Linked DNA regions of Cricetulus griseus. The protein of the gene in region 1 purifies or fractionates together with the protein of each later gene. This does not show direct contact. Links are inferred from orthologs where the notes say so. Each region holds a gene or a part of one and is shown in the gene's direction. Other genes may lie near its edges.

Region 1 (3,070 bases):
GGACAGAGAGGAAACATTTAACATTCCCCAGCTGTTAGTGTGGGTCATGGCTGCCATGCCCAGAGCGCTCCAGGGAGCACTGCTTGTAGGAGGTGGAGGTGCTGCAAATTCAGTTTAGAACTCAGACAGGGGAAGAGGCACATGGTCTGCCTTGGGTTGTGGCAAGTCCATTGTGGGGTGGGCTCTAGGGGAGCCTTATTGCTTCCTAGTTGTCAGGCTGGAGTGGGGGCTCCCCCAAATCAAGATTCAACCCACGGAGGAGTGGCAGGAGACATGCTGGTTTCCATTTCTAGCCTGTCATTGTGAAACATGGACAGGGCTTGCCTCTGTGAGCCTCAGTTTCTCCATAGGAACTAGCAGTACATGCAGGCCTTCACAGGCCCTGAAGGCAAGTGGAGATGAGAAAGAAACTCAAGAGCCTGATGGCCCTGCTCTCAAGTTCTAGCTTCCATGCTCCCTTGCTGTGTGTTATGGAGCAATGACATAACTCTCTAAGCTGTGCTCGCCTGTGGTGCAGGCCTCTCAGTATGGAAAGTTGATACACAGAAAACCTTAGACAAGGCTGTTATTATCTTCCTGGGGTCTCCCCAGTTCCTTTCTGACTGTGTCCTTCCTCTAGCTCCACCTTGAATGAAGTCAACACCTCCTCAACCATCTCCTGCGACAGCCCCCTGGATCTCCAAGAAGAACCACAGGCAGAGCCTGAGGCAGAGCCTGAGGCAGAGCTGGAGCAGCCACAGTGCTCAGGTTGCCAGGGACCTCTGGCTGAAGCAGAGGACAGCTTCCTGTAGGGTCTGCCCCCACCCCACCCAACCTGAAACTCTCATTTGCCTCCTAGCACCCAACCCTCCTGGCCTAGCCTGGCCTGGCCTGGCCTGGCCTGGCCTTCCAGCTGCTGCACTGCCACCAGCTGTCCCCTTGAAGAAGGCCCCTGGTGTGTGGCACTCAAGGTCCAGGGACCAATTTAGCTTAGGAGGCAAGAGAACTGTGGGAACTGAGCCTCTGCTTCTGGAAAGCCATGAGACTCTGAGCCAGGGCTCCTCCAGGGGACTCCGTTTCCCCAGATGTAAGAGGAAGAGTTGGGCTTGGCCTGGACAGGTATGGAACCTAGATTCCTGGAGAGAGTCCTGGGTGTAAAGTGGTGTGTTCACGTCCTCCTGTGTAGCCAGTTGCCCCTCAGCTGGATCACTCCACTTTGATCTTCCCAAGAACTTGGCAAGAACCTGGTGCCTGACTCCTGGCCAAACAGAGGCCAGCCTTGGACAAGGCCATTTCATTAGAACCCTCCTCCCCTGGTGCCAGTCTTAGCTTTCCCAGGCCCGAGCTGGTCTGGGGCCAGCCATGCTTCATGAACACTCTTAGGGGAGAAGGCAGAGCTGAGTACAGGATGCTCTGGCCTGCAGCCCACAGGACACACCTGGCCACAAGAGGTACCCACGCCTTTCATCTTCATCACTCTCCGTTGACCTGCCCACCAGAGTCTGCAGGCCCATAGTCCATGCCTTCATATGCTAAACGCCTTCCTGAAGGCACCAGTAGGAGCCCTGACTCTGCACTGGACCTGCTATGAGACCTTGGAAGACTCCCTTGTTCTCTCTGGGTACCAGTTTTCTTTCCCCTTTGAAAAGTAAGCAAGCTGGACTCATTGACACTGTGTACCCTGTCAATACTACGAGTCTAGAGTGTTCCAGGAGCTTGGACTTATCCTGGCAGACTGGGGTCAAGTCCCTAAGCCACATTTCTGGCTGAACTCTGGGAAGATTCCAGATACCACATCTGGGGATTCAGGAACTGAGCCTCTCCTTCAGGTCCCCAAGTGCAATTGCACAGACCTTGACTTGGCATAACAGTCAGTGTCCCAGGAAAACCCCCTACAGCTGTCTTGAGGACACAGAAGGACCACGAGACCCTTTTCATACCATGATAAAATCTGGAGCCAGCAAGAGTGGCAGAGAAAGGCAAGCTAGGTCACCCCAGGCCACTGTCATCAGGAGTGTGGACATGATGAACCAGAGTGAAGGCAGATGTGTCCTGTGTAGGACAAGAAGCTTGAGGTGGGCATGAGACGCAGACGCCATGGGGATTGCCATCTCAATTGGCTGCTGTCCCTTGTCCTCAGGCAGCACTGTACAGGGATGTTTTTGTCACTGCCCAAATCCAGCAGTGGCTCTTTACCAACCCTGAACCAATGGGCATTGGAGGATCCTGGGGAGTGAGGAGTGGGCTGGAATAGGGAAGGAGAAGCCAGCCCCTCTGGGAGCTCTCCCATGCTGGCTTGCTGGCCGGCAGTTCCCTTGCCTGGGGCAGCAGAGGTTGCTGGAGGATGGGGAGAGCTGCTCACAACGGTACCAAAGATGTAATCACCTAGGTTTACAAGTACTCATAGGACTCACGATAACCCACTTAGACACCAGAAGTGCTATTTTATATGCTGTTAAGCTTCCTATCTGTACTTTTTTTAAAGGGAAAAATTTTAATATTAAACTTGGTGCTTCTCACTAAAAGACCATCTCTTAGGTTTGGGTCTGTGTGTCCAAGAATGTGGAGACAGTTTGTTCCAGACAGGTCCTTGCCTTCTGCTCCAACTCTCACATACCAAAAAAAAAAAAAAAAAAAAAAAAAAAAAGCCAGTTTCATTTCCTCCCATCCTGGGAAGTGGTGGGGTGACCACCTAGGCCTTGTGCTTGGGTTTCCAGATGTGAAGCGAGGCTTTTCTTGCTGTGGTATTTGGAAGGAGAGCATGGGCTTACAGAGATGGTCCATACCCCCATCCCCACCCCTGCCTGCCTTGCCATGTGCTCTGGCTTTAGCCGCTAAGCTGAGTCACCCTCCTTGCCCCACTTCTTGCTGCCTACAGCCAGACTTGAGCTGGGTTGGCTTGTGGAGAGGAGCCCACCAGAGTCCGAATCTTAGATCCTTGAGAGTCGTCACTGGGGATCCAGGTAGGAGCAGGGCAGACTGAATACCCAAGAGGGCCAGAGAGCAAGAGAAAGTAAGGAAGGAGAAAGGGTGGAGCAGAGAGGAAGAACAGAGGATGCAGTGTGATGGAGAGGAGCAACCTGAGGGGAGG
Region 2 (4,135 bases), about 84 Mb from region 1:
ACTGGTATTTTTAAACTATAGGGGAAAAGTAGTGGGCAGGAAAGATAACACAGACCTTGAGCTCCGAAGCCAAGGCTGCTTCACTTAAACGTACTTCTTAGAAAATTAGATTTGCTGAGGGGAGAGAGGGGAGTTTCTTGCCAAAATCATTAAGGGAAAAATGATTCTGGACACGTCTTAAAACAGAGATTTCGGTAAACAGGAATTACCTATAAAGAAAATCAGGAAGGCGAAGTGTTTCTTTTTATGAAGTTACATCCTGCCATAGAAAAGCTGGATCGGAAATAAAGACCGAAGCTTTCCCAACTGCACACCAACCCAGCCATTTATTTCATCAGGGAAATTCTGAGCAAAACACTGGGCAATGAGGCAATGAGTGAAAACAAGAAAACCAACAGAGGTTTGAATGCCCCAAGAAGTCAGACAACCAAAGGCTACTGTTAAGCATCTGGAGAAAGAGTGCAAACAATCTCTGCTGTGTGGTTTTGGGTTTCTTTGTTGCAGCCCCCTTGCATTTCAGCAATACTTTCTCCTGACTTTTTCTGGAAAAGAAAGATATATAGGTGCCCACAAAAGTGAGAGTAAATAGAATATGATTTTTTTGTTTGTTATTCGTTGCGCGTTTGCGGGGTCGTCTAGCTTTGCCGGCTTCTGCAATGGACTTCTCTACTTTGCTCCTCACTTCTGTGATTTGCCATCGCCATTCTTAACACCTTTCCATTTTATCCTCCCACTTTCAAAGGCGAGGCTCTGGCGAAATAGATTCCCGTGGCTGTAAGGCTGCAGTGGCAGGTGTCAGTCTCTACTAGCAAAGCAGAAAGCAGCTCGTAGCCTCCGCTCTCTCCGGTCCACCCCATTAACTCCCAACTCCACACGATCCTCAGACACACACCCCCTCCTCCTCCAACCTCGCATCCCGTCGCACACCCCGCGCGGCCCGCATGCCAGGATGCCCGCCACCACAGTAACGCTCAACCCACTCGGCGGCCCCACCCATGGCCGTCCCGCCTCCCACGCGCGCACCAATGGCTGCGGCCCACAGCTCCCAGAGGGCCCTTTGATAGGGCAGAGCGACCTGACTGTCTCCGACGAGTCCCGCCCCCTCTCGCACCCCTCGGGATCCGGAGCAACCGGAGCATCAGCGAGAGTAGCTGCGAGAAGCCGCGGCGGCGGCGGCGGCGCGTCGGTGCAGTTGCGCCATCTGTCAGGAGCGCAGCCGGCGGGGAGGGGGCTCCGCGGAGAGGAGAGGGGTCGCCGTGCGCCAGGCCTCCGAGACCCGCCCGCCTGCCGGCCGGGAGCACACCGAGGCCGCCTCGAGCCGGAGCGCTCCGAGGACTCCCCGGGCGCACACAAAGCCACCGCCCGCGCCAGCCAGGAAGGGACCGGGCTGCCGGGCCGGGGACACCGGCGCCGCCCCCTCGGCGCTTCGCGAGGCCCCCGAGCTCCCGGGCCCCGCCGCGGAGCCGCCGTAGCCGCCTGGGCCGCGCCGGAGGAGGGCGGGGAGAGGACCATGTGAATGTGCTCCGGAGCCGAGAGCCACGCCACGCAGGTAAGCGGCCGGGGATGCGCGGAGCCGCGGGATGCTGCGGATACGCCCGGCCCAGCGCCCCCGCATGGGCTGCCCCCGCTGCGGTCCCGCCGCGCAGCCTCCGGGGCGCTGAGCCCCGGGTTCCCCGCGACGCAGGACACTGATGCGGGGTGCCGTCCCCAGGCTACGCGGGCACCGGGGTACATTTCCTCGGCCGCCGGCGGGAGCCGGATGAAAAATAGGAATTGGCTTGGGGGCGAGGTTGGCCCTGCTCCTCCCCCGCCCTCCTTTCGCGGCCCCCCGCGGGGACCCGGGCTGTGTGTGTTGTTTTAATGTCAGGGATGATGTAATCACTTAATAATTGATGCCCCGTGCTGCTTTCCTCCCCACCCAACCCCTGCCCCACTCCTCCACCTCTCGGCCTCCTCCCTCGGCGGCCCTCGCCTTCCCTAGCGCATCCTCCTGCCTATTTCTGGAACCTCCCTTGCACTTCCCCCATCCTCCCCTTCACCCTTCCTGTGCCACCACCCACCCACCCTTCCCCTTTCCCCTGTGCCTGGCCTTGCCTCCTCTTCCTCTGTCCCCCACCCCTTCTGCTCTGTCAAGCTCGTTTCTCCTCCCTTCTCCACTCGCTGGATTTCCTCCCTACTTCCCTAGGTCGGTGGATGGTTTTGTTTGGTCTCCTCCAGGCTCTCTTATCTCTGAGGCCACAGGCAGAAGGGACTGGGCTAGAAAGAGGCCACCAAGCTTGGGCCCAGGAGGCGTTTGCTGGGACTCACTGAGAGGAAGGATAATAAAATCACCCATTTTGCCCCTCCTTCCTCCAATAAATCAGACTCGCTCTGTGTGTGTGTGTGTGTGTGTGTGTGTGTGTGTGTGTGTGTGTGTGTGTGTGTGTGTGTGACACAAAGAGCCCTTTCAGTTTATAGAGAAGAGACATAAAGTACCCAGGGTACCATGCTTCTTGTTTCTCATCCCGGGGCTTCCCTTTCTTTCTGATGAAGCACTTGATCTCTTAGTCCTTTCTACCACATTTACCAAAAAATGAAAGCTCCCAGATCCAGGGTGGCAGGTGCAGGCATTTTGCTGTATCCACCGACTGGTAACGCTGAGTGGCAACTGCAGTTTCTTCTATTTAAGGGGGTGGGAGATTATTACAGCTGTCTTAGGAGTTGCTGTACTTTCCAGGAAACCTCCTCTCCTCCCCCATTTCCCCCTCTTTCTATTTGAGGATAGGTACTGATACCTGTGACAGGATAAATGGATGGAGGATCAGAACAAAATTGTTTCTGAGTCAGAATCAAAACTGTTTAAGAAGACTGAGGCAGCCAGACCTTAAAGCCCTAGGCCACTTGGCTGAATGAAGTCTTTTGAAATGTGCTCTGGTCTTCCCAGCGGTGTTACTCTGCCCTTTTATTTAAGTAACCGGGCCTGTGGATACAACACTGGGCTGGCATTTGGAGGACCATTGGAGTCAGCACTTGTTGGCTTCAAGGTTGACTCTGAATGCCCACATCCTTCCCCTTACCACTAAAGCGACTACAGTACTTTCCATCCTCTGTGCTCTGTGTCTGTCCTCTGCCTCATGAGTACCAAGCATTCTGCAGATGAAGAAACTCAGATTTCAGAGGAAGTGGTTTCAACTCAAGCTTCAGGGGTAGTTAACGGGATGTCGGTGTCTGAATTCAGAACCTATGATGTTCCTCTTAAGATGGAGATGTAAATCTCAGGCTTGACATGTCAAGATTTAGGTTGGATCTGCTGACTCCCGATTGTGGTTCCTCCGCTGTTGAAAGTAACAAAACTGTCCCAAGTTTACTCTTTAGCCGTTTTAGAGTTGTGATATTCCTTGTGGAACTTTTATATTTAAAAAATGCAGAAGGATTAATCCTAAGTGTCCTCTGAAAACAGGGGCTGGTTTGTTGGGATACCAGACCCAGAAAGGAAGATCAGTACACAGTAAACTTGCACTGTGCTGCCCAAGTTAGAAGAACTTATTAATGATAAGTTAACATGGACAAATGCTCTCTACTTCCCCGGGTCTCCAACCCCATCTGATTTGCTTGAAGTCTTTACCCTCCAGGCCCAGCACAAATGCCATCTTTTCTTTCTGAAGCCTTCTCCATCTCCTCTGCTCCAGGCAAGCCACCAGGTCTCCAAATCTGTTTCCCAACATCATCATCAGATATTGTTTGTCTTCTGTCTGTTTCTACCACTAATTGGTCAGCACCTTGAGAAGAGACACTAATCAGGCTTGTCTCATTTTCTATCAAGTTTTACTTTAGTTGGTATTTGGTTGGTTGTTCATTGAGTGAGCAACAAATGTGAATTGGGTCAATGATACGTATCTGACATCTGTTTTAAGTAGACTCATGTTGGCAGCTATAATTGGCCTGAAAACAGACTGGTACAAAAACAAAAGATATTTATTCTTGCTCATGTGATACTCCCCAATAGGTGTTTCTGTTAAATAGGTGGCTTTCTTCTATGCTGTGTGTGACTCTGAGTGGGTCCCACTCTTCCACTCTGCCATAGTTTTCCATTGTAACCTGTTTCAACTGATAGACAGGAGGAATAGAGAGAGTTAGGGAGGGCGCATCTCCCTTT
Region 3 (4,270 bases), about 130 Mb from region 1:
ACTTATAGACTTATATACACATTCACATAAGGCGAACAAAATCTTTTCCTTGGCCATATTAAAGGTGACATTGATCTGAGTTTGGTAATTTTGTAAAGTTCAGATTTGGATATGTCTTGCAGACTCTTGAATACAAACTAGCACAAAACCACACTGACCTAGGCACTTTTCCTGTTCACACTTTATTGTCTGGCGTGCAAACGTGTGAGAGAGGCATTCGGAGCAGGGAACTTTAGTAGTAGAAATCTGGCTTTGCCTGTGTTTCCACCTTCACAGTTTTCCATGGCTCCTTTCATCAGTTTTTTTCTTGAGTCCCAGCTTCTAGGTTTGAATTATTTTACCGTGTGACAGTAGCACGGCGACTAACATTGTGCAACCAAAAGGAATAAACTGGGACTACTGCTTTGACCTTTGTTGCCGACTGCACCGGTGGTTGAGGACATTTTTCTTCAAGTTAGAAAGAAGGGAATGGACTTCCTGACATCAACCTTTCCTTCCCACCACCTCCTCGTCCCGCCGGTCCCTCGGGCGTGGACACGAGGGACTTTCCTTGTCGCCCCGTTAGCAAACAAAGCCGGGAGAGGCAGGCAGGCCCGCACAGAACCTTTGGCGTGGAGGGAGCGCGCCACGCGTCTCTCGCCGCTCAGCGAGAGAGCCTGCCACGCCCCCAGGCGCGCGCCCGCCCGCCCGCCCGCCGCTCCGCCGCCGCTCCGCCGCCGCTTCCTGCTGCCCGGGCTGCTTTTCCCTGGCCTCTCTCCAGACGCGCTCCCGGAAGGCGCCTGCGCAGAAGCCTCGGGCTCCTGCTCCCCTCCCTTCCTCCGCGGCCCGCCCTCCTTTCTCCCTCTCTCTCGGGTTTCGCTGCCGAGAGCGGACGGCAGGCAGCCGTCGAGTCGGGTTGTGCGCGCCCGCCCCCTTCCTCCGCCCCTCCCAGCGCCCGGGTCTCCAGCCGGCGGAGATGAGGCTGCGGCGGCCGCGGCTCCGGCAGCCCCGGCGGTGGCTGCGGTGGGGGCGGCCGGAACCCGGGCCTTGAGGCGCGGCGGCGGTGGCGGAGGAGGCAGCGCTGCCCTGGCCGCTGCAGCGGGCTTCCCTTCCTCTTTAGCGTAGCCAGGAAGTTTGGCGCCCTGTGCATGTGTGCGCGTGAGTGTGGGTGTGCGCGGCCAGCTCGGGTAGCGTTTCTGCAGGCACTGGGCTTTTTTGCCCGCGTCGCTTCCCGTAAGCCAGCAGCCGCCGAGCTTGGGCTGTGGCCGGAGGAGGGGGCGCGGCGGCGGGCGCTCTCCTTTTGTTGTTGTTTCCTCTGCCTGGAGAGCTGAAGGGGGACGCGCCTGGGTGGGGCGGCTCGCAGGCCGGGCCTGCTGGCCCCCGGGGCTCCCGGGCGGCCGGGGTAGCTAGAGGAGAGCGGGCTTCAACATGATGGCGGCCGAGGCCGGCAGTGAGGAAGGCGGCCCGGCCACCGCGGGGGCCGCAGGCGGTGCGGCCGCGGGCTCCAGCGCCTACCCGGCAGCGTGCCGGGTGAAGTTACCCGCGGCCCTGCCGGTGGCAGCCGCCCCCTGCCCCGGGCTGGCAGACGCCGACCTGGCTGCGGCCCTGGGTGGCGGAGCCGCGTTGGGGTCCGGGTTCCTGGCGACAGGGCCAGTGGCGGGTGTCCTGGGGGGCGCCGCGCTGACCAGCGGTGCTGCTGCTGCTGCTGCTGGCGTGGCGGGTGCTGCCGCCGCCGGACCTGCTGGGGATGTTCCTTTCGCCAAGGGGACTTTGTCGTTGTCTGCCGAGACCCTCGGGCCGGGTGGCGGATTCCCTCCTCTGCCGCCGCCTCCTCAGCTGCCCCCTTTGGGCTCCGGCCTGGGCACGGTGGATGAAGGTGACTCTCTGGATGGACCTGAATACGAGGAGGAAGAGGTGGCCATACCGCTGACCGCACCTCCCACTAACCAGTAAGTCCAAAATGCTGTTGAGGGATTGTGGAAGCTGGTTCCATGAAAGAAGTGGGCAAGAAAGCAAAACAGACCATGCTCCTGCGGCGGTAATTTGTTTGAAAAGTTTTGAAGTTTCACGTTCCTTATGTAGGGATTTAATGTGACCAGACATCTTCCCTACGGCACTGTCCCTGGCGTCCTCGTGTGTGTATTGCTTTTCTGGCAAGACAAAGTTTTTCAGATGGGAAGCATGGGAAACTGTATCCAGTGAGGACCGGATATGGTTCTGCCCCTTCCTAATTGAGATAGTGTCCGGGATTCAGCAGAACTTGGCACTGTAAAGGCAGCCACTGTCTATGGTACCTCCCATGCCCCTGCTGAATCTAGATTTACAGTGAGAACCATGAGTACAGGTGTTTACATGGGTATTACATTAATGTAAGTTGGAAATTCATTGGTCAGAATGTTTTCTTTTTGCTGCAGTTGCAAATCCCTACTTAATGTTTACTGGGAGAGTTGTGATTCAGAAAAGACTAGATCACTTTAGAGAAGCAGCCGAGAATGGAAGGAAGTTCTGTGAATTACAGGTGTGATTAAGGGCTCACACACTGAACACTAACTTGTTCCTTAATGTTGTTAGTATTCATGTAATACTTCTATACTGAGACAGTACAAAACATTAAAAAATAAAATATTGGTCGTGGCTGATGCTGTATTGTTTGGAAATTAATTTTGGTAGTTTATTGTGAATTAATCAGGGAAAATGGCTTTCCCTTTTAATTTAGAGTTGTCTCTTTAATGTGTTCTTTTCCTAAGTGAAATAGGTATGTCTTTGTAAATGTAGGTTGATTTTGATGAGGGAAAATTGTTGAGGTGGGAAGTGGTAATAATAGACGAAGCATGTTTTATAGAGCCTTCGAATCAGTCGTAATTGACCTTTAGAATTTCAACACCATTGGTAATTGTAGGAAAAAAGATTTGGTTCATATATTGACACTTTCTGGACACTTGAGAAGTTTTCTTTGGGAGGGTCAGCTTCTTAAGAGGCTTAAGAAATGACCTAAAGACAATCAGGGAAGCATTTTGTAATAGTAATCCATTCTCATTTAAGCTACATTTACTGCTCTTTTGAATGCATGTTGTGATTTAGAAATGCATTGGTCAGAAAGCTTTGTGTTTGTTGACATTTTCAGATTTCAGTTTAGGTCTGTTTTGATACTTCCCAGCTATGGTGAAAGGGAGTTATGTTCCTTTTATGTCATTCATCACAAAGTGTAACCTCTCTTTTCTTATTTTAATCTAATTTATGTCTGTGTATTGCAGTCTATCTTAGGAATATTCTGTGTTAAAAAAATTCCGGCATTGTGTATATACCTTTTTTGCCAAAATCAGTTATGCTTTTATTATAATAAAATGCAGTATAATGAGAGAATGTGGTCTTACGCCATTTTTGTAATTGAATTTGATTTAGGCATATTTACAATCTTGTTTTCTTAAAGGCATTTGAAACTTTAGTTATTTTTATTTTATGAGTGTTTGTCTGCATGTGTGTATGTGCATTGTGACAGTGTCCAGTGACAGAGGCCAGAAGAGGGCATCAGATTTCCTGGAACTGGAGTTACAGGTGGTTGAGAGCTGTTCTGTGGGTGATGGGAACCAAACACTGCTCCTCTGAAAGATCAGCAAGTGCTTTTAACTGCTGAGCCATCTCTCCATCCCAGTGTATTATTATTAAATTATTTCCAGCAGACTCATTTATTTTATTTTATTCTTTAAGAGAGGCTGTCATTCTAGTGTAGGATGGCTTGTAACTCACCGTATAACCCAAGCCACCCTTGATCGGTGATGATCCAGTTCAGCCTCCCAAGTGCTGGGATAGTAGGCTTGAGCCATCATATTCCCTTTGTAGGTTATAATATGCTTTAAAAGAGGAATTTAAACTTGACAGCAAAATGGAATGGAAAAATACAGATTATTTTCACACTAAATTTTTAAGATTAAGCATGATTATTTGGAGAAAATTTTATTTGTGAGAAATCTATTAGAAGTAATTTTATTATTTTTAAATATATTTAAAAATGAACATAAAATTTGACTTAGAGTAGTTCATATATATATATATATATATGTTTTTTTTTTTTTTTTTTTTGACAGGGTTTCTCTGTGTAACAGCTCTGGCTGTCCTGGAATTAGCTCTGTAGACCAGGCTGGAACAGAACTCACAGAGATCTGCCTGCCTCTACCTCCCCAGTGCTGGGATTAAAGGCATGTGTGCCACCACCACGGCCACCAGCACCCAGCTAAGTTGTTCATATTCTAAAAAGTCCTCTATACTTTTAATGTATATTTATATAAATCTT

The links.
Region 2: the proteins of Pdgfrb (region 1) and Fyn purify together in Homo sapiens (pull-down; 3 studies listed by IntAct, with this or other methods). This does not show direct contact. The link is inferred for Cricetulus griseus from reciprocal best matches to the Homo sapiens genes PDGFRB and FYN.
Region 3: the proteins of Pdgfrb (region 1) and Rasa1 purify together in Homo sapiens (co-immunoprecipitation; 5 studies listed by BioGRID and IntAct, with this or other methods). This does not show direct contact. The link is inferred for Cricetulus griseus from reciprocal best matches to the Homo sapiens genes PDGFRB and RASA1.

The regions. Positions count from the first base shown.
Region 1 is NC_048595.1:178,020,418-178,023,487, reverse strand, and holds the end of Pdgfrb (platelet-derived growth factor receptor beta), read left to right. Parts: intron 1-619; coding exon 620-791; 3' UTR 792-2,509; downstream 2,510-3,070. UniProt on the Homo sapiens protein: Tyrosine-protein kinase that acts as a cell-surface receptor for homodimeric PDGFB and PDGFD and for heterodimers formed by PDGFA and PDGFB, and plays an essential role in the regulation of embryonic development, cell proliferation, survival, differentiation, chemotaxis and migration.
Region 2 is NC_048595.1:261,872,930-261,877,064, forward strand, and holds the start of Fyn (tyrosine-protein kinase Fyn), read left to right. Parts: upstream 1-1,208; 5' UTR 1,209-1,549; intron 1,550-4,135. UniProt on the Homo sapiens protein: Non-receptor tyrosine-protein kinase that plays a role in many biological processes including regulation of cell growth and survival, cell adhesion, integrin-mediated signaling, cytoskeletal remodeling, cell motility, immune response and axon guidance.
Region 3 is NC_048595.1:305,271,542-305,275,811, reverse strand, and holds the start of Rasa1 (ras GTPase-activating protein 1), read left to right. Parts: upstream 1-1,407; coding exon 1,408-1,928; intron 1,929-4,270. UniProt on the Homo sapiens protein: Inhibitory regulator of the Ras-cyclic AMP pathway. Stimulates the GTPase of normal but not oncogenic Ras p21; this stimulation may be further increased in the presence of NCK1.